Cricetulus griseus: one gene and its partners. The protein of the gene in region 3 purifies or fractionates together with the protein of the main gene of each other region. This does not show direct contact. Links are inferred from orthologs where the notes say so. Each region holds a gene or a part of one and is shown on either strand. Other genes may lie near its edges.

The links.
Region 1: the proteins of Rhod (region 3) and Plxnb2 purify together in Homo sapiens (affinity purification with mass spectrometry; 3 studies listed by BioGRID and IntAct, counting the BioPlex papers as one, with this or other methods). This does not show direct contact. The link is inferred for Cricetulus griseus from reciprocal best matches to the Homo sapiens genes RHOD and PLXNB2.
Region 2: the proteins of Rhod (region 3) and Daam1 purify together in Homo sapiens (affinity purification with mass spectrometry; 3 studies listed by BioGRID and IntAct, counting the BioPlex papers as one, with this or other methods). This does not show direct contact. The link is inferred for Cricetulus griseus from reciprocal best matches to the Homo sapiens genes RHOD and DAAM1.

What each region holds. Positions count from the first base shown.
Region 1 is NC_048595.1:385,931,575-385,937,732, forward strand, and holds the start of Plxnb2 (plexin-B2), read right to left. Parts: upstream 3,897-6,158; 5' UTR 3,752-3,896; intron 1-3,751.
Region 2 is NC_048598.1:131,429,866-131,434,422, reverse strand, and holds part of Daam1 (disheveled-associated activator of morphogenesis 1), read left to right. Parts: intron 1-1,615; coding exon 1,616-1,786; intron 1,787-2,417; coding exon 2,418-2,627; 3' UTR 2,628-4,557. UniProt on the Homo sapiens protein: Binds to disheveled (Dvl) and Rho, and mediates Wnt-induced Dvl-Rho complex formation. May play a role as a scaffolding protein to recruit Rho-GDP and Rho-GEF, thereby enhancing Rho-GTP formation. Can direct nucleation and elongation of new actin filaments.
Region 3 is NC_048596.1:54,833,242-54,839,467, reverse strand, and holds the start of Rhod (rho-related GTP-binding protein RhoD), read right to left. Parts: upstream 3,857-6,226; 5' UTR 3,763-3,856; coding exon 3,631-3,762; intron 1-3,630. UniProt on the Homo sapiens protein: Involved in endosome dynamics. May coordinate membrane transport with the function of the cytoskeleton. Involved in the internalization and trafficking of activated tyrosine kinase receptors such as PDGFRB.

The DNA of each region.
Region 1 (6,158 bases), on a different chromosome or scaffold from region 3:
AGAGGGACCCCTGCCTCCAAATGCAAGTGCGTGGTCCCTGTGTCCAGACAGGACATGCCCCAGGTCAGGTTGCTGGGCTGATAGCAAAGCTGGAGTCAAAACTAAAGGGGGAACTACCCTTTCCCCCTTCCTCTTCTTAAGGCCTGGAGCCAGGACCTAGGTGATACCAGAATGGGGAACTTCTGGGTTTCAGAAGTCCAGGGAGCTGAGGAAGAAAGAGGGTGTGGGCAACAAGCCCAGCCCTGCCCCTAGGCACAGTGTCCCAATCCGGTTAAGCCCCTTCTGTGTGTAGTCCACTGGGACCCCAGGCAGCTCAGGTGTGAACTCAGCAGTCCATGGGGACACCCCAGGGAAGGCTGCCAGCCATGAGGGAGGCAAGGAGCCAGGCTGGGGGAGGGGACACTGGGCTGCAGAGGCGGGATCAGAGAGTGACAAAAGACAGGAAATAGTGCTACCAGCTCCAAGTCTGGACCAGCTTGGGATCTTCCCGGTGGCAAGATTGTTACTGTGAGATGGTTCAGATCTGCTCCAAGGGGAGTTCACCATCCTTGACCACCTGGGAGTTGAATCCAATCACGGTCACAGGTTAACGAATTTTAGAGTAAGGAGGGCCCCTCTAGAGTTGGGGTACAGGAAGGATAGCAGAGGCCTTTCCTATCCTTTCAGATGCTCTAATGAGGTAGAAGAGTCAGAGGCAGCACCTGTAGTCAAGAGTTCAGGACAGGGCAGAGTCCATGCTATGTCAACAGAGGAGAGCAGGAGGCTCACACAGCTGGGGGTAGGGAGCAGTAGCTGCCTGGGGAAGTGAAACCTAGAAGAGCATGAAAGAGTAGTCACATGAGGTCTGGAAAGCCAAGAGCTGGGGCAGCTGCCCCTGATACCCTATTCCAACCCCCCCCACACACACACACAACACACACATACACACACACTTCAGCCCTTCCCAGACTATAATTAGTCAGAATCCAGCTCCACCCTACCCACAACCCCACCCTAAACACAAACAGCCATTAGCCCTAGGAGAGGGGCTCTACCCAGCCCCTACCCCTATCTAACCACCCAATGGCTTGGCACAGAAGGGCAGTGAGGCTAATAGAGGCAGCCTCAGCCTCATCCACAGGTTCTCCAGAGCCTTGACTACCAGGCCTTGGTTGGAGTTCTAACTAACTTACCTTCTTTCCCTCACCAAGCCAGTTCTTTTACAAGAGGCCCTCAACAGAGACAAAAAGCTTACTCCCCGAATATCAAGAGCAAGGCAGGGAACAGGAAACAGCAAGAGGAATAGGAGGACATAAGCAAGGAGTGCCTGGCTGCAGGGTGACAGCCCTTTGTGGCAGAGAGGTATGTAAGGGATAGCCGACAAGCAAGGGATAGTGCTTGCTAGAAGATCCTTCCACCAGTGACCCTTGCCTATGTCCAATATCCCTGAGGAACCATTAGCACTAACCATCAGGAGAGGTACCAGGCAGTGGACAGGACATTAGATGTATGTTCTAGAATAGCTAAGGATCTGGTAGGGGGGACATGTGCCATATGGACACCTCCGTAGGCTGTCAGCCCAGCTCAACCCAATCCCTTCCAATTCAATCTCTTCTGCTCCACTAGCAGGGGCCAGGGCCAAGTCCCTGGGCTTCCTGCCCTTGGGCATCAGCTGCTGGCTCTACTTCCCAATGTGGTCTCCATCCAGGCTCCTGGGCAGTCACAAGCCCCAGGAGCCAACTCAGGAACATCCCAATGGCTTCTTGTAGGGACCTTTATCTGCTCACCTGTGGGATGTCCTGACCAATATCACATTACTAATGAGGGGCGGAGCCGGGAGGCGGTGCAGCCCTTCATTGAACAGCTGGTCAGTGAGAAGACAGGTAGGTGGCCTAAGGTTTAGCTCCAGGAAGATGTGCTTCCTGATCTAAGTCATTGCCAGGAGTGGGACCCATCCCAGGTGTCCTTAAACATGGTTTTAGGGAGTGAACCGGGTCTTCCACATGGGTCTGAAGTACTTCCTGCCCCATGGGCTCTCTCAGAGGAGCCTGGGCATATTCCAGGCCGGGCAGGGCCTACAAAGAAGCCGACCTTGAGGACCTTCTCTAACCCAAGGTGACACATGCCCTCCTACCCCGCCCCTGACTGGTCTGAGCAGCCATGGGAGGGAGGTGGTAGAGCTGCCTGGACTTGCCAGCCCCGCCCTCCTGGGGCTCTCAACCCCGCCCTCCTGGGGTTCTCAACCCACGGCCCGGAAGTGGGTCCCTTCAGCCTCCCCTTCTGCTTCAACCTCCTCTTTGGGTAGCTGGAATTGCTGGACTCGGCTGGATAATCCAAAATAATTCCTCCTTGGCAGGCAGCCCGTGGGGGAAGGGGGACTCACATTCCAAACTCTTGTTTTTCTAAGTAACTTCCCTGAGTTCCTGGGGCTAGGAACCTCTGTCCCGTCCTCAGGCCTCCCCAACTCCATGGAAGGGTGTGAGACTAGGTACCCAAGGAACCGTGGTCTACCTGCTTATTTCTGTCTTCTCTAGCAATTTCGATACAACACAATAAGGTTTGGCACATTCCACAAAACACCTCACATGCTCGCCCTACTTTCGTAGGAACTTCACCTCCTGACCAAAGAGCGAGAACTCTTCCCACTGGTAGTCCAACTTTCTAATGGCATTCCCTACGTACCAGGGTAGCATCCGGGTGTAGGATCAGGCTGACAGCTCCCACCTTAAAGGTGTGCGTGGGCAGCCTGAGGAGTTCAGCTTTAAAGCCATCAATACAGACCGAAGATAGACATTAGAAGGGGCACTCCCCAAGGCAAATGAGGGCCCTCAGAGCCTCTGTTCCTCAGGACATTACACTCACTGACTTTGGGCCTGGCTTCAGCTCCAGTTCTGACCACCACCACCACCATAGTGGCCACTGGCCCACCTCTCTTCCTGCCTTCTCCAAGGAGCTAGAAAAAGGAGTTAAGTGACGTGGCCAGAAACTCTAGGATTCTTAAGATCGGAAACCCCCAGACCGGGAGACACTACCCATCCACACACAAATCTGCCACACAGCCTGACCAGAGGAACAGTATGGGCACATGCATGAGAGCTCCCTGCGGAAGGTATATAGAAGTAAAGGGCTAGATTGTGAAAATACCTCCCAAGTTCTAAGCCTTCTGTCCTAGGTGTCCCTCCAAATATCACACCAACGAACTACACTAGAAGCTGCGGAGACCTTGCTGGGAGGCGTGGGGCCTCACCAGGTACTACTGGGTGTTAGTTCTCTCTGTCCCTTGTTCCCTGTCCCAGAAGGTGTGGGGACTGCTGCGGTTGTGCACCCCTGGAAAAAAGCTCCAGCAGAGCCCGGCTCTGCGCAGGCTTAGCTTGAGAACTGGGGCCTGGAGGTCCGGCATAACAGGGATGACTCTCTCTGGTCCTTCGATTCGGCAGGCTAAGAGGTAGGGGCGCCAGCCGCGAGGGAGGGTTTGAAACTACACTGGGTAGAGTGCAGCTCCATTAGATCGCTGGGACCCGGCCAGTCAGGCCAGTCTCCCAACATCCCGGCGCGGAGGGCCTCGTCGCCAACCGGTGGGGCAGGAGCAGCCAGGCCCAGCCGGTTGGACAGACAGACACAGGGCAAAGACGCAGGCCCGCGTCGCCCACAGCGCAGCGGCACTGCCCTAGCACCCCCGCGTCCGGGTGCGCAAGCCGAGGCCGAGCGGCGCGGAGAGCGAAGCCTGGGCCTGCGCGACGCCCCCCGCAGTTCCCGTCCCCAAGTGCGGTACCTGCTCCTCCGCAGCCGTCGCTCGATGGCGCCGGGGCCGCGCTCTGCGTTGCGCTCTGGCCCGCGCGGCTGCCATGGAGACGGGCCTTTGTGTGGCCGAGGAGGGGCCGGAGCGCGCGGGAGCCGCCGGCCCCGCCCCCGCCAGGGGAGAAGGAGGGCGGGGAGGACAGGGGCGGGTGAGAGGGAGGGACGAGACTAAGGGATAGAGGATAGCCGACCGAGGGTAGGAGGGGCAGCTGGCGTCCCTAGCGTACCCCGCGTTTCCCCCTGCTCAGAGCCACTTAAGCACACTGCTTTGCTTGGATGTTCGCTCCCTGTAGCAATCCGCGCGCCCTGCCTGCTGCAGTCGCGTCTCCCCCCACCCCCATCGCCCCGTCATCAGAGGAGTTCGCTGAGGCTGGGCACCACCCCGGGAGTGCCTCAGGCCGAAGTGAATTGGTGCACGCGGCCCGGCACTGGTGGGTGGCTTCGGCTGGGCCAGACCGAGGCCTTAAGTGTTCCTCTTGGAGATGGGCGGGGCGCAAGGAACCTCGCCACCAGATTGGCAACAGGGGGACCACGCTCGTGTCCTTCCCGAGGGTGATTCTTTCTCCGGGATTCTAGCCGCTCAGTCTCCTGCAGAATAGCTGGAACTCTGCTCTCATTGCCCTCCTTCCTGGTCCCCTGGCCCATCATATCTGGGCCTTAGCGACCCCCAAGTCTTCATCTATTGGGTAGGACAGAACTACTCCCTAGAGTTCCTACTTCTTTCTGATCTCCAAGTCACCCATGCTGTGGCCCCATGGATTTGTAACTTGGCGATGACCCCACTGTCGCAGAACAGGGTTTGGGACTAGTTTGCATAGCTCAGCTCGTGTCTACCCTGCAGTATCTATCGCCTCCACCCAAAATTGCCCTCCTTGAAGACTGCCTACTTCCTATTTCCTTAGGCATCTCCTCCCCAACTTTGGGGATCCACCCCAATTCTTAAGCCTTCCCCAGCAAAAGACTACAAATCTGAGGGTTTTGCCGGTTGTGTAAGCAAGACTGACTTGCCCCATCGCCAAGCAGCTAGGCTTTATCATATTACCTTCTTCCCTCCAACAACAGTTTCCCCCCCCCCCACATACACACACATACCAAGGGACTTCAAAATATCTAGTAATTTGCAGGGCTGCAAAATCTGTATCAAAAAAAAAATAAGTATTTTACCACAAAAAGATATTTTAATACCAAAGTTGTGGGAAGGCCAGTATTCCAAACTGAGTGGGGCTCAAAATAGAAGGCAGGAAGCTGGAGGGTAAAAGATCCCTCCTGTTCTTCCGGTCTTGTCCCTGGGGCTGGCTGCCTCATGACCTCCACCCAGCCCTCCTAGATCCCTTGAATGCTGGCTCACAGCTCTCTCCAATATGCCACACAAGGGAGCCCTGGGGATCACTGCATCTTGGATTTTTTTTTTTTTTTTTCACTATCCAGGCATCTTAACCATGAGGGCCCTTGGGCTTGGGGGGAGGGAAGCACTTCCTTGAAGCCATCTGTCTTCTCTCCAGGCCCTGCCCTGGGCATGGACTTGAAGTCTTTAACCTACTCTGGACAGAAACCCCCACTAACTCAGCTGATCCCATCCTGGGAGAGCTAGAGTAGAAGAGGATGTAGCTGGTAGGAGGCCCCAGGCTGTAAACTCTACCCAGTAGCCAGGACAAGCACCTAAAAGGAGATGGTACTTTTTCCTCATTCCTATATGCCTTGGGTCTATGCCCTAGGAAGTACTGTTGTGAACACACACGCCACATAACCCCTAAATCTGTTTCTGAGTCCCATGTCCAGTGTTCTGAGAATGACTGATTGCTAGGACAGAAGCTAATTAGTCCCAGGTGGATGGTGTCGGAGGTCCATGGGAGCCACTATGAAGCTTACTGTATGACAGCCCCCAGAAAGTGAAGGGAAAACACAACACATTGCAGTGGCATTTGAGATGTGCTCTTTAGAGTGAGACCAATAAGACCTGGGAGCTTCAGACCTTGCCACTCTATACTTGGATATGAGGCTGGGCACACCAAAGGCACAGTTTCAGACTCCAAATGGCTAGCACTGTGCTGTCCCCATAGCCTGGAAGCTCCATCTGTCACAGTGGAAGATGCCATATTTCTGAAGATCCCTTAGAGACCAGGCTTTTGGTGGTGAGGCTGGCACCTCTGTTTCAGGAGGTGCCAGGGCCACTCTTCCTAATGCCAAGGACTCAACCTCCACCTGCTCTGCTCAGTTTTCTAACAGGACACTGAGAATGATTTAGCTCACTGTACACCTTCATCACATCTATCTTGTCTATTTCCTTGCCTGTAAAATGCATACAACGTGACAAACTGTTATAGCCTGAGGTCATAGGGGTAAGGGAGAAACAAAGATCTAGGAACAGGCCTGGCACCTGT
Region 2 (4,557 bases), on a different chromosome or scaffold from region 3:
CATGACTTCATCATCACTAGAATTCCTAGATAAAAAGATCATCCATGATGGCTTAAAGTGCATGAACTTGAATATTTTAGGAGCTCAGCTGTAGACCGTTTATTGCTGTTTTGTTCATTCCAGAACTTTTAGAAATAAGCTTATAAAACCATGAATCAAGCTAGACTACTCTAATGTGGTGCATGAAGAATGTTATGTTTTTCTCTAAAGAGTTCTGTTTTGTAATAGAATATTTCCAAATAAGTAAAACATTGAGAACAGCTCCACATTAAGAGAAATGGAAGAAAATATATTTTAAAATAGGAGGGCCAGTGAGATGCTTTAGTGAGTGAAACCACTTTGCATGCAATCCTGATGGCCTGATGACCTCCCACCAGGAGAAGAGAAGTGACTCTAAAAGTTGCCCTCTGACCTCCACATGGCACGCATGCACCTGCACACTTACACATATATACACATGATAACTAAATTTAAAATAATAAAATTATTATGAAATATGTACAAATATGCATATCAGTCAAAATTGTTATCTATAAGAACATTGAAAACATGCATAATATTACTAAAATATCAGAAGCTTTAACAATAATGCAAGAAAAATCAAGCCAATTAGAAACCATGGAATTGCTGTGATCTGAATAAGGTCTGATCAGAATGTAGTTGAGTAGCACAGGAAAGAGAATTCAGTTGAGTACGAAGCCTGGTCTCTAAGCTGGGCTGCACAGGGCCAGCAGCCCTGGGCCCTTCCCACCACAGGAGCTCAGTGCTGACAGTAATGGCACTGTCCTGGGGTAGTCCAGGTGATGCTGAGACTTGGGATAGCAAACTCTCCAAGTTACTAAGGAAAGCCCTCTGAGAACAAAAGACAGAAACAGTTAAGAGGTTTGAAAAGAAACTGCACATACTGTTTTGTTACTTTACATTTTGTTTAAATTTTTTAAATTATCCCTAACTTTGTATTTGTCAGCTTTAGAAAGAGACATTAAACGAATTTCTGAGAACATTGTAGGATTGGCCTAAAGTAATCTCAATCAGAAACTTTGGATGCCATTAATGACTCCACAGTCAGTTATTCTTTCCTAATTAGAGCTGGGGCAGCCTAAAGACAACATTAGCATTATTTATGGATAGGAAAAAGCAGCTGGGAAGTCCTGGGTCCCATTTGTTTTTCATATTCACCATATGGCCCCAATAAATGGTATTAAACTACTTCAAAGGAAAGCTTAAAGTACAAGGTTTCCGACCCCTGCTGTGCTTGCTTTTAGTCTCTGGGTCTCCGGTGTCCTGTCCTGCAGTATTTTGCCTTCTTGTGTTTACTGTTGTTTAGTTAAGACAGTGTTGTATGTGGAAACCATAGATGTTACGCTGAAATGAAATGGACAGGATACAATGGCTTCAGAAGTTGGGGAGTATTCAGTTTCCAGCTTTGCAAATGATGAGTAGGTGTGTTCAGTGGCTGAAGAGAAACAATGGGCTGCTAAAATCCTTCAGTTATATTTGAGCTTTCAGCCTTCTAGGGAGAATTCATTTTGACTGTGGAGTCAGTTCTTTTGAAACACTGAGGTCTTCTTCTTCTTCTTCTTCTTTTTTTTTTTTTTTAAATTTTTTTCTCCAGTTCACTAAAGCAGTGAAGCACTTTGGGGAAGAGGCTGGCAAAATACAGCCAGATGAGTTCTTTGGGATATTTGACCAGTTTCTTCAAGCTGTGGCAGAAGCGAAACAGGAGAATGAGAACATGAGGAAAAGGAAAGAGGAGGAAGAGAGGCGGGCTCGCATGGAAGCTCAGGTAAGAGGAGACTCACCCAGCAGGTCCTCCTGGACCCCTCGCTGCAGCCCTCCAGTTTCTGTGATTCAGTCTTTCCCTTCTGTGGTACTGGGGACCAAACCAGGGCCACATGATAGACAGGTACTCCAGCACCCAGGTATGTATGGCCCAGAGCCAGGCCCTTTATTTCCAGAGCACTGTGCTGCACTGTCAAGGAGGGGAGAACCATGCATTCTAGAGTGACTCAGATAGCTTAGATCCATACCACGTTTCTCTTGAGCGATTTGGGAGTTTCTCTCCAAAGACTGAAAAATCCTGTCCACATCCCACGAGTGGAGCTCCTTAGAAATTACCTTCAAGAAACAATTATAAGTTTCCAAAAGGACATTAGCATTCTTTGTAAGAGCCCTAAATTACCTGTGTTAACTCCCTCAAATGCAGAAAGAGAGAGAGAGAATGTAATGAAACTTACCTTCACTGTCCATTGATTTTTCAGTTAGCCTTTACATTACCCACACAGGTTAGCAGCCACAGCTGATAGATACATGGCTGCATGTAAGAAAGAGATTCACTCCCTACCGCAGGGCACAGAATTCTTCTGTGCTGAAAACAAAATACACCTTAATCCTAAAAGGATTCTCTCTATGTGCAGCTCAAAGAACAACGGGAAAGGGAGCGCAAGATGAGGAAGGCCAAGGAGAACAGTGAAGAAAGCGGAGAGTTTGACGATCTGGTCTCAGCTTTACGCTCAGGAGAAGTGTTTGACAAAGACCTTTCCAAACTCAAACGGAACCGCAAACGCATTTCCAACCAGGTGACGGATGGTAGCCGGGAGCGACCAATCACAAAACTGAATTTTTAATTTTCTTGCATCCTTTTCTAGAAAGCGCAGTAGCAGCCCTTTGGCCTGACTAGAACTTTTCATTACACTGCCTTGCAATCAAAACAGTGGCAATTTCTTCTCTCACCTGTGAGTGAAGGTGTGAATGTGTGTGTGTAAATGTATGTGTATATATGTGAAAATGTATATAGACGTCTGAGTGTTGTCCAGGGACCTATGTGTATGCTTCAAAAGTTTATGTTAATGTGTGTGCTCAGAAACTCTCTGTGTATGCATTCATGTCGAGTGGGGCTCATTTTCTTTCCCTGAACACCATGAATGTTCAGAAGCACAATTCTCCCTCCCGAAACAGGTAACAGACATTCCTTAACATTAAAAACAAAACAAAACAAAAAAAAAAAAAAAGAGAAGGAAGAAAAGAAGAAAACAGGATGTTTTTTAAAAAAGGTGTGTCTTGTGGAGTATTTTATGGTTCCCAGAGTTAGTGTAGTGAGACAGTTTTTACTGGTAGAATTGGAGTTGGAAAATACAGATCTGGATGAGTTTGGTGGTTCCAGTCGGGCACTGCTGCCTGCATCACTGACTAACTTGGAAGAACAGCTTCAAGTTCCCGATGCTGCTGTTGGGTTTCAGTCTACAGATGTCTGTTGAGAGCATCTTGCACACATTCATACCATGTAGAACATCAGTCACAATTCTTTTGTATATTTGAAACTTGAACACCAGGTTTTCTCCCCTAATTTCATCTCTTGGTGATTTATTTTCTTTTTCTTTCTTTTCTTTTTTTTTTTTTTTTTGAAAACATGGTTTCTAAATAATGTCACCTACATCCTGGTTAAAGGCCAGGATTTCCAGAACCTTGTTGTTGACCTAACAATACAGATTTGTAAACCTGGACAATGAAATTTCCCACCGAAGACTCAGTGGAAGAAAGAACTCCCTGAAGATTCTTTTTAAAGGCATATGGGGTGCTTTTGGGGTGTCTTCTGTTTCCTGTGTAGGCCATGCTGCATATCTTGGGATAAAGGACACTCACAGTGACACAAAATGTCAACAGTATCTACAGGGATGCTCAGATCTATTTATCTCAAAGGATATTTGAAGCGATTGCTGTTAAGTGTTGTCATTTTAAATTGTGTGTCAGTGAAGCTACCTGTACATCTTCAGTCCAAAAAAAAAACAAAAAACAAAAAACAAAAAAAAAAAAAACAAAACAAAGCTCTCAGGGAGAAATGATGAAACAATGAACATTAGAAAATAAAATATAGATGCTTACCACTGACCTGCCAACTCTTAGTATCCTTAAATTATATGGTATGTAAAAAGGACTGTTACTATTTTTTTTCCTTTTGCTTTATTTATTTGTACTTGGGTGTGGGGAGGGACTAGTGTTTTCTGTTTTCCATCTATCCTTTTGTGGTTGGGTTTCCTGTGGAAAGAGTAGTTTTTCCTATTGCACTAGAATATTATTTACTCACTAAATTGAGTTTTTCAGTCAAGTATCAAATATTTATTAAGCACTTACTATGTACCAGGCATAGTAGAGCTATAGTGGTAAGCAAGACAGAGTCCCTGCCCGCCAAGGAGTTCACACTTTAATAGGGTTTTCAGGGACAATAGAATGCCAGTGTGCATAGTATACAAGGAATCATAGCTATTTAAAAATAATCTGTATGAACTATAATGCTTAGTGCAGATGGCAAGGGATCTGTGCTGTGTAAAAACTGTGAAACAGTGCTCTAAGAATTGTCGAGAGCTGTGGTTTTTTACCCTTTGTTTTTCTTCATTGAAAACATAGCGACTTTCTACCCATTATATGGAAGTAAATGGCTCTCCAATAAAGCAGCCACAGGTACAAAGCAGAGCTGACTCCTGGCCCCAAGCTACAGTGTCTGCAAGCACACCATGGCCGCGGTGCTGCTTATGGAGACATAGCTCAGCGAGCTTGGAG
Region 3 (6,226 bases):
ATACCTAGTCTCTTCCTTTCCCTTATCAGGCAGGGTTTCTACCTGACTATGACTCAGGAGGACTTCATGCCTGTCTTTCCGATGGCCAGACTGCCTGCCAGTCCTCTTAGTCAGGCCCTGGCCAGCTGGGAGGAGCAGTCAGTGATGGGGGAGTATTTTCACTAGGGCATGGGAGGCCATGCAGGAGAGGGAAGAGTGGTCACCTGGAGAAATAGGGAGAAGTTAGCATGGCTACTCTGTCACCCCCAAAACGAACAGGAATGGACAAGAACAGACAAGGGCCCAAGCTGCCTCCCTTTCTCTCTTTACATGCTCAGCTTCCTCTTCCCTTGGACATTTTTCCTACTGGAGGGGAAGAGAGTGTGAGGACAACACTGGCTTTGAGGTCAGATGAGCCTGGTTTAGGACCCAGCTCTGACAGCCACTAGTTAGTTGTGTGTGGCCTTGGGCCTGCACCATCACTGGTTAAGAGAAAAAGTGTCACCACGGGACTGCAAAGGGAAGACCTGTTGCAGCATGGATGGTCACTAATTACCTGGTTCTCAGTATCCATACCACCCCTATCCATCCTCTGTATTCCCTTTCACATCCCAAATTGTAGCCTCTGGCCTCCACCCTAGAGCAAGAACCTGTCACTGTGGAGAAACTGATCTTCTGCATCTGAGACCCTCATGTGGTTACCTACATGCCAGTTGAGGGGCTCTCCTGATCCGAGCTTCAGGATGTGGGATGACCCATAACAAAGCTCTTGGGAGACAGGCCAGTGCTTCACGAGTCTGTGAAGATGGCCTCAGCCCACTGCTCCCTAAGGCTCTTCTCCTGGACTCCTACAACCTTAGCAGACTTTCAGAGGCTCTGAGGAAAGTGATTTGCCTAGGGCCATGCACTAGCTGGGCTAGGCAGAAGCTGAGCCAGTGCTGTTGGTTTTTAGGGGCTACACCAGCCACTTTCCTCTTCTGAGGTCATCAATATTTGCTTCTGACATCATACAGACCAGATGTGAGCTGGAAGGGGCTGTGTTACCTCCTCACTGAGAAGAGTCACTGCCCCACCCCTTGTTTTGGAATGTGACTTTATCTATACCTTTTGAGCTGTTCTTTGACCCCCTAGGCAGAAGTGCTTAATCTTATCTGTTCAGTTTTGTTCAGTCAGAGACACAAGGGCTGGCCTAGGTTGACCCAGGATGGAGATGACTCAGCCCTGGGCCTGCCCTCCTGGGGTTCACAGACAGGTGACCATAACAGAATGAGGAGAGGGTTCCCCAGGTAAGATGCCTATGGAAACTGGAGCAGTCTGAAAAGACTTTGGACTTGGCTGGCTCTGCAGGCTGGGTCTCTCTCCAATCTCCTGGCCCAGTCTTGTAGGCTACAATGGCAGCTGAGACTTTTTGGGGACTGATGTCTCTCCATGCCTCATAAGCTCTATTTTGCCCCCTCTGCCTTGAACTTGAAGTTGGGTTACAGCCTGTGAAGGTCACAGAGGCTGCTCCACATTCCCAGCGTGCTCTCTTCTCTGCCCTTTGCTGCAATCAGAAAGCCTCAAGACTACCGGACCCTAAGCCTCCAGGCTGCTGGCTCCTTGGGCTTTTAGGGCTGCCTGAGGCAGAACAGGCTGAAACTGGTCAACAGACAACAGTAGTGACTTCAGAGGTCATAGAGTGCCCTGGGGAGGGCAAGATGGTCTGAGCTGGGAAGTGGAGGAAAGATTAGGAGGCATCAGTGGCTACACATTGAATCTGAGGTCAGCATGGACTCCTTGAGACCTTGTCTCAAAACAAACAAAACCCAGCACTGGGAGGCAGAGGCAGGTGATTGTCTGAGTTAGAGGCTAGTCTGATCTGCAGATGGGAATTCCTTGATAGCCAGGTCTACATACACAGAGAAACCCTGTCTCAGATAAACAAAATAACAACCAGATGTGGTAATGTTACATATCTATAATCCTAGCACTACAGTGGCAGGAGTATTTGAGATGAACCTAGGATACAAATGGAGACTTTGTCTCAAAAACAAAACTAGCTTGATAACTAACTAAAAAGAGCTCTCTCTCTCTCTCTCTCTCTCTCTCTCTCTCTCTCTCTCTCTCTCTCTCTCTCTCTCTCATGTCAGGGAACTCCCAGACAAAGGGAGAAAAAGGACAAGGTTGGTCCAGCCCCCTGGTGACTACTCTCACTCCAAGGTGTCCTGTAAAACATACATAGTTCATGGACTGAAAGGTGTTTCTATATGAAAATAGTACGGCCCCTGCGGTCAATGTCACCATCTAGAATGTCTGATGCAGGACAATGATGCTGAGCCCTCTGCCTCTGTCTCTAAGTGCCTTCCTCTGATCCTCAGCTGCCACAACAGTCAGGTTTCCGTGAGCAGCACCTAGAGACCTGGAAACTATCTCTTCAACTTCAAAAAATTGTGTAACTGGTCAAAGGAGGTGACGTCAATTTTGCAAACCACAAATCCAAAGGCTCTGAGCTGGGTATGGTGGCACATACATGTAATCCCAGCAACCCTCAGGGTGAGAGAGCTGAGGATGGAGCATTCAAAGCCTACACAGTAACATCCTGTCTCAAAAACAAAACGGAAACCACTAAGGTCCAAAAACATAAAAACCAATAGCTCACTGGTGTAGAGTGGCAAGCAAGCCCTGGCACCGTTTGCCAGACCAGCTTCTCCAACTCCTCCATTACACTGCCCAGCTCTGCGCAATCCCAGAGGCTGGAAGGATGCAGGGATAGGAAAGGAAAAAGACGTGCTGCTGGAGGCAAACTCAGGAGCACCTAGAAATCCCACTCCTCATGGAGGCATAGAAAGTGGGCTCAGCCACTGTTCTGGTCACTGGCCCTGCTGAACTGCCTGGAGAGCCTGTCCTGGAGGACCCACAGTCACAAGCCCAGAGAGGCAGGCTATACCAGGTACTGCACTGAGTGTCCATCAGCCTTCTGCCTCACCTTCCTTACTCCCTTCCCTCCCGTGAGGTTGCTTTGAGAAACCGAGGCTTAGAGTCAAAGCAAATCATAAGTCGAACAGGGCTCTTTAGAGAAGGTCTATGTTCCCCATTTTCCTCTCTATGGTAAAGAATGGGATTTGCACCATAGTGGCCAGGGTCGGAGAAGAACTGTACCTCCCAAGGGGCATCATTTATCAACTTTCAGTTGAGTCCTTCTCGCATGCAGACTTGGAGCTGAGCTCTTGACCCCTATCGGCTCGCTCTTGTATAAACTCAGGAGGGGACTGCTAGTCCTATCATGCAGTTAAAGAAACAGGCACAGAGAGGGTAAGGGACTTGCCCAAAGGCACACAGCTGTAAGAGGCAAAGGCTTGGTTTGACGCTGCCAGTCTGGCTCCAAAGTCCTCACTCTCTTAGCCAAGTTGTGACACCAACTGCTCTCTTAGGATTTGCTGTTTCCCCAAGTGGCCTAATTCAGTTCCTGTGACACCCCTCCCCCTAAATGCCATTAGTCTCACTTCGATCCTACTGGCTACTTCTGAAAAACTCTGCCTTCGACCCCAGGCTCTGTTGGGAACCCCCAGGAGGCTGGAATTGGGTATTTCCAGGCAGTTCTCGGCAGACCCACCCGCACACTGGTGCGTTCCAGCGCGGGGACTGCGCAAGGCCAAGGGTGAGGGCACTCACCTCTGGGAAGGCCCCGTCGGCGAAGACCATCATCAGCGATGTCTTCCCGCAGCCCCCGTCGCCCACCAGGACCACTTTGACCGAGCACCCGCTTAGCGGCGCCTCCTCTCCCGCAGCCTGGGCCGCCTTCATCCCGGGCGGGCGAGCGGGCGGGCGAGCGGACAGCCGTGCGCAGAGCAGCGGGTGGTGCGCGGCGGGCTGGCGGCGGCGGGCGCGGGGCTGGCTCGGCGGGACAGGAATGTGGAAGGGGCGGGGCGGCGGGAGGAAGTGGGAGCGGCAGGAGGCGGCCCGGGGGGCGGGGGGACACCCAGCTCAGGTGAGAGGCTCTGACCAGGATCGGGGTGCGGCGGCCAGCCAGGCGTGCAGCGCTCCTGGGGTACGGTCTCCTGGCGTCCTATCTGGCCTTTCAAGAAACACTTTCGGAGCATCGACTGTGCGCAGTCATTAAGGCCACAGGGGTGGGCGGAGACCTATGCCTCAGAGGGCACCTAGGGCTCCTGGGAGAAAAAACAAACAAACAAGTAAACAGGTAGTTGGAGAGGAGTTGAGGACAGGGAGGGAAGAAGCACCTGGCCTGGCCCATCGCCATGGGAGGGAGGTGATCTTTTATGAATGAATGAATGAATGAGTGAATGAATGAATGAATGAATGAGAGTTTCTGTGCTTGGGGACCTAACAATCCAGGCTTCCTTCAAATGTAGGTCAGGTGAGAAGGGAGTAGCCCGGGCATGCCCTCGTGGGTCCCTGCAGGACCTCTTTGGTCAGCACCAGCAATCTTCAATGAAGGTGAATTACTACCTCTTTCACCCAGGCAGGCAGTGATCTAGGGAAAACTGTGGAAACTTCCATCTATGGAGCTCGTATCAGGCTGTGGCATGTGGCTGATGCCATGAGTGGTTCTTAGTATAATACTTTTAAATGTTATTTTTTTTGTGTATGGGTGTTTTATCTGCATGTATGTCTGTGCACCACGTACTTGGTGCCCACTGCCCTCCGAAGGCTTGGAACTGGAATTACAGACAGTTATGAACCACCACATGGGTGAACCTGGGTTCTCTGGAATAGCAGCCAATGCTCTTAACCTCTAGGCCATCTAGCCAGCTCCTTGGTATAATATTTAATCAACACAGATGGTCCTTAGTTTCCAAGAGTCTGGGGGCTGGACGGTGGTGGCGCATGCGTTTAATCCCAGCACTCAGGAGGCATAGGCAAGTGGATCTCTGAGTTCCAGGCCTGCCTGGTCTACAGAGTGAGTTCCAGGACAGCCAGAGATACAGAGAAACCCTGTCTTGAAAAAAAACAAAAAACAAAAAACAAAAAAAACTAAACTAAACAAAAAGTCTGGAGCTCCTGCACTGTTTAAGTCAAAACCTCTACTATAAGAAGCCCAGAATGGGAGACATCAGTGTGAGAAGAACTACCTGAGGCAAGAGGACAGGAGAAAGACAAATGGACGCCTCACCTGGGGTAGACAAGGAGGACCTTTCTCACGGGAGAAGAGGAATCTTGAAGAAAAAGTTGCAGGTGTTTCAAAGAGAACATCAAAGAGGCTGGCATAAGGTAGCCATGCCCCCACCTTCCCATTGCTGGGATAGAGGGCGGGGTTTGGCTGAGGAGCTGGTATCTGGATGGTGGAGCATTTTGGATTTCATAAATAAATCTAATATTGAACTGGAAACTTACTGATATTTATATTGGGCATAAGTAGGCTGGGAATGTAGCACTTTTGCTAGAATGCTTAACTAGCACGCATGAAAGCCTGGATTCCATCCTCAGTACCACAAAAGCTGAGCTTGGATGTGCATGCTTGAAATTCCAGTACTGGTGAGGTTTAGGCAGGAGGATCAGAAGTTCAGTCAATGTCAGCTTGTCTATACAGAAAGTTTAAGGATAGCTTGGGCTGGATGTCCTGTCTAAAAAAGTGGGGAGAAGGGTCTCCTTGTCTCCCCAGACCTTGGGCTGGATGTTTACATGGAAGCTAAGTAGAACAGAGTCAGAAGTCTTTGGGTTTCATCTCCCACCCCCACACTGGTCATGACGTCACCCCCTATGGTATTCAAAATCAGGTGAAAAGAACCTTCAGCCCTACTTGATCCTCATTGTGTCCCAAGGAGGCAGTTTCCAGTTTCCCTCAGGGCGGTGGCCAGAGGTCAACTGCATAGAGGGAACCTCCCCAGGACAGCTCCACCTTTTGGATGCCCCTTCCCCGAAACTGCCCCAGGGCTGGGCAGGACATGTCAGGAGGCTGGGTGTGTAGCTGAGCAGGATGCCCCATCTAAGGAGTGGTGAGGAGGGGCCCTGTTCCCCCCATTCCAGTCAGCTGTCAGCCTAGTCATCCCCGCTGCTGCTGCTGCTGCTGCTGCTGCTGTCACCAGGCCAGCCTGGCGGGCAGGTGGAGCCGGACCAAGGGTGGAGGAAGCTGAGAGTCAGGCAGAGGCAGTTGGCCTTTGTTGCTGTAGGGATAATCACTCTAATGACACACTTGGCAACTGTCACACTTTACAGTTTCTCTGTCTACCTCCTAATAATACCACCACCCACCGACGGTGGTAGTTGCTATTCAGAGACTGTCCACTAGGAGGCACGGGTTGCTAGC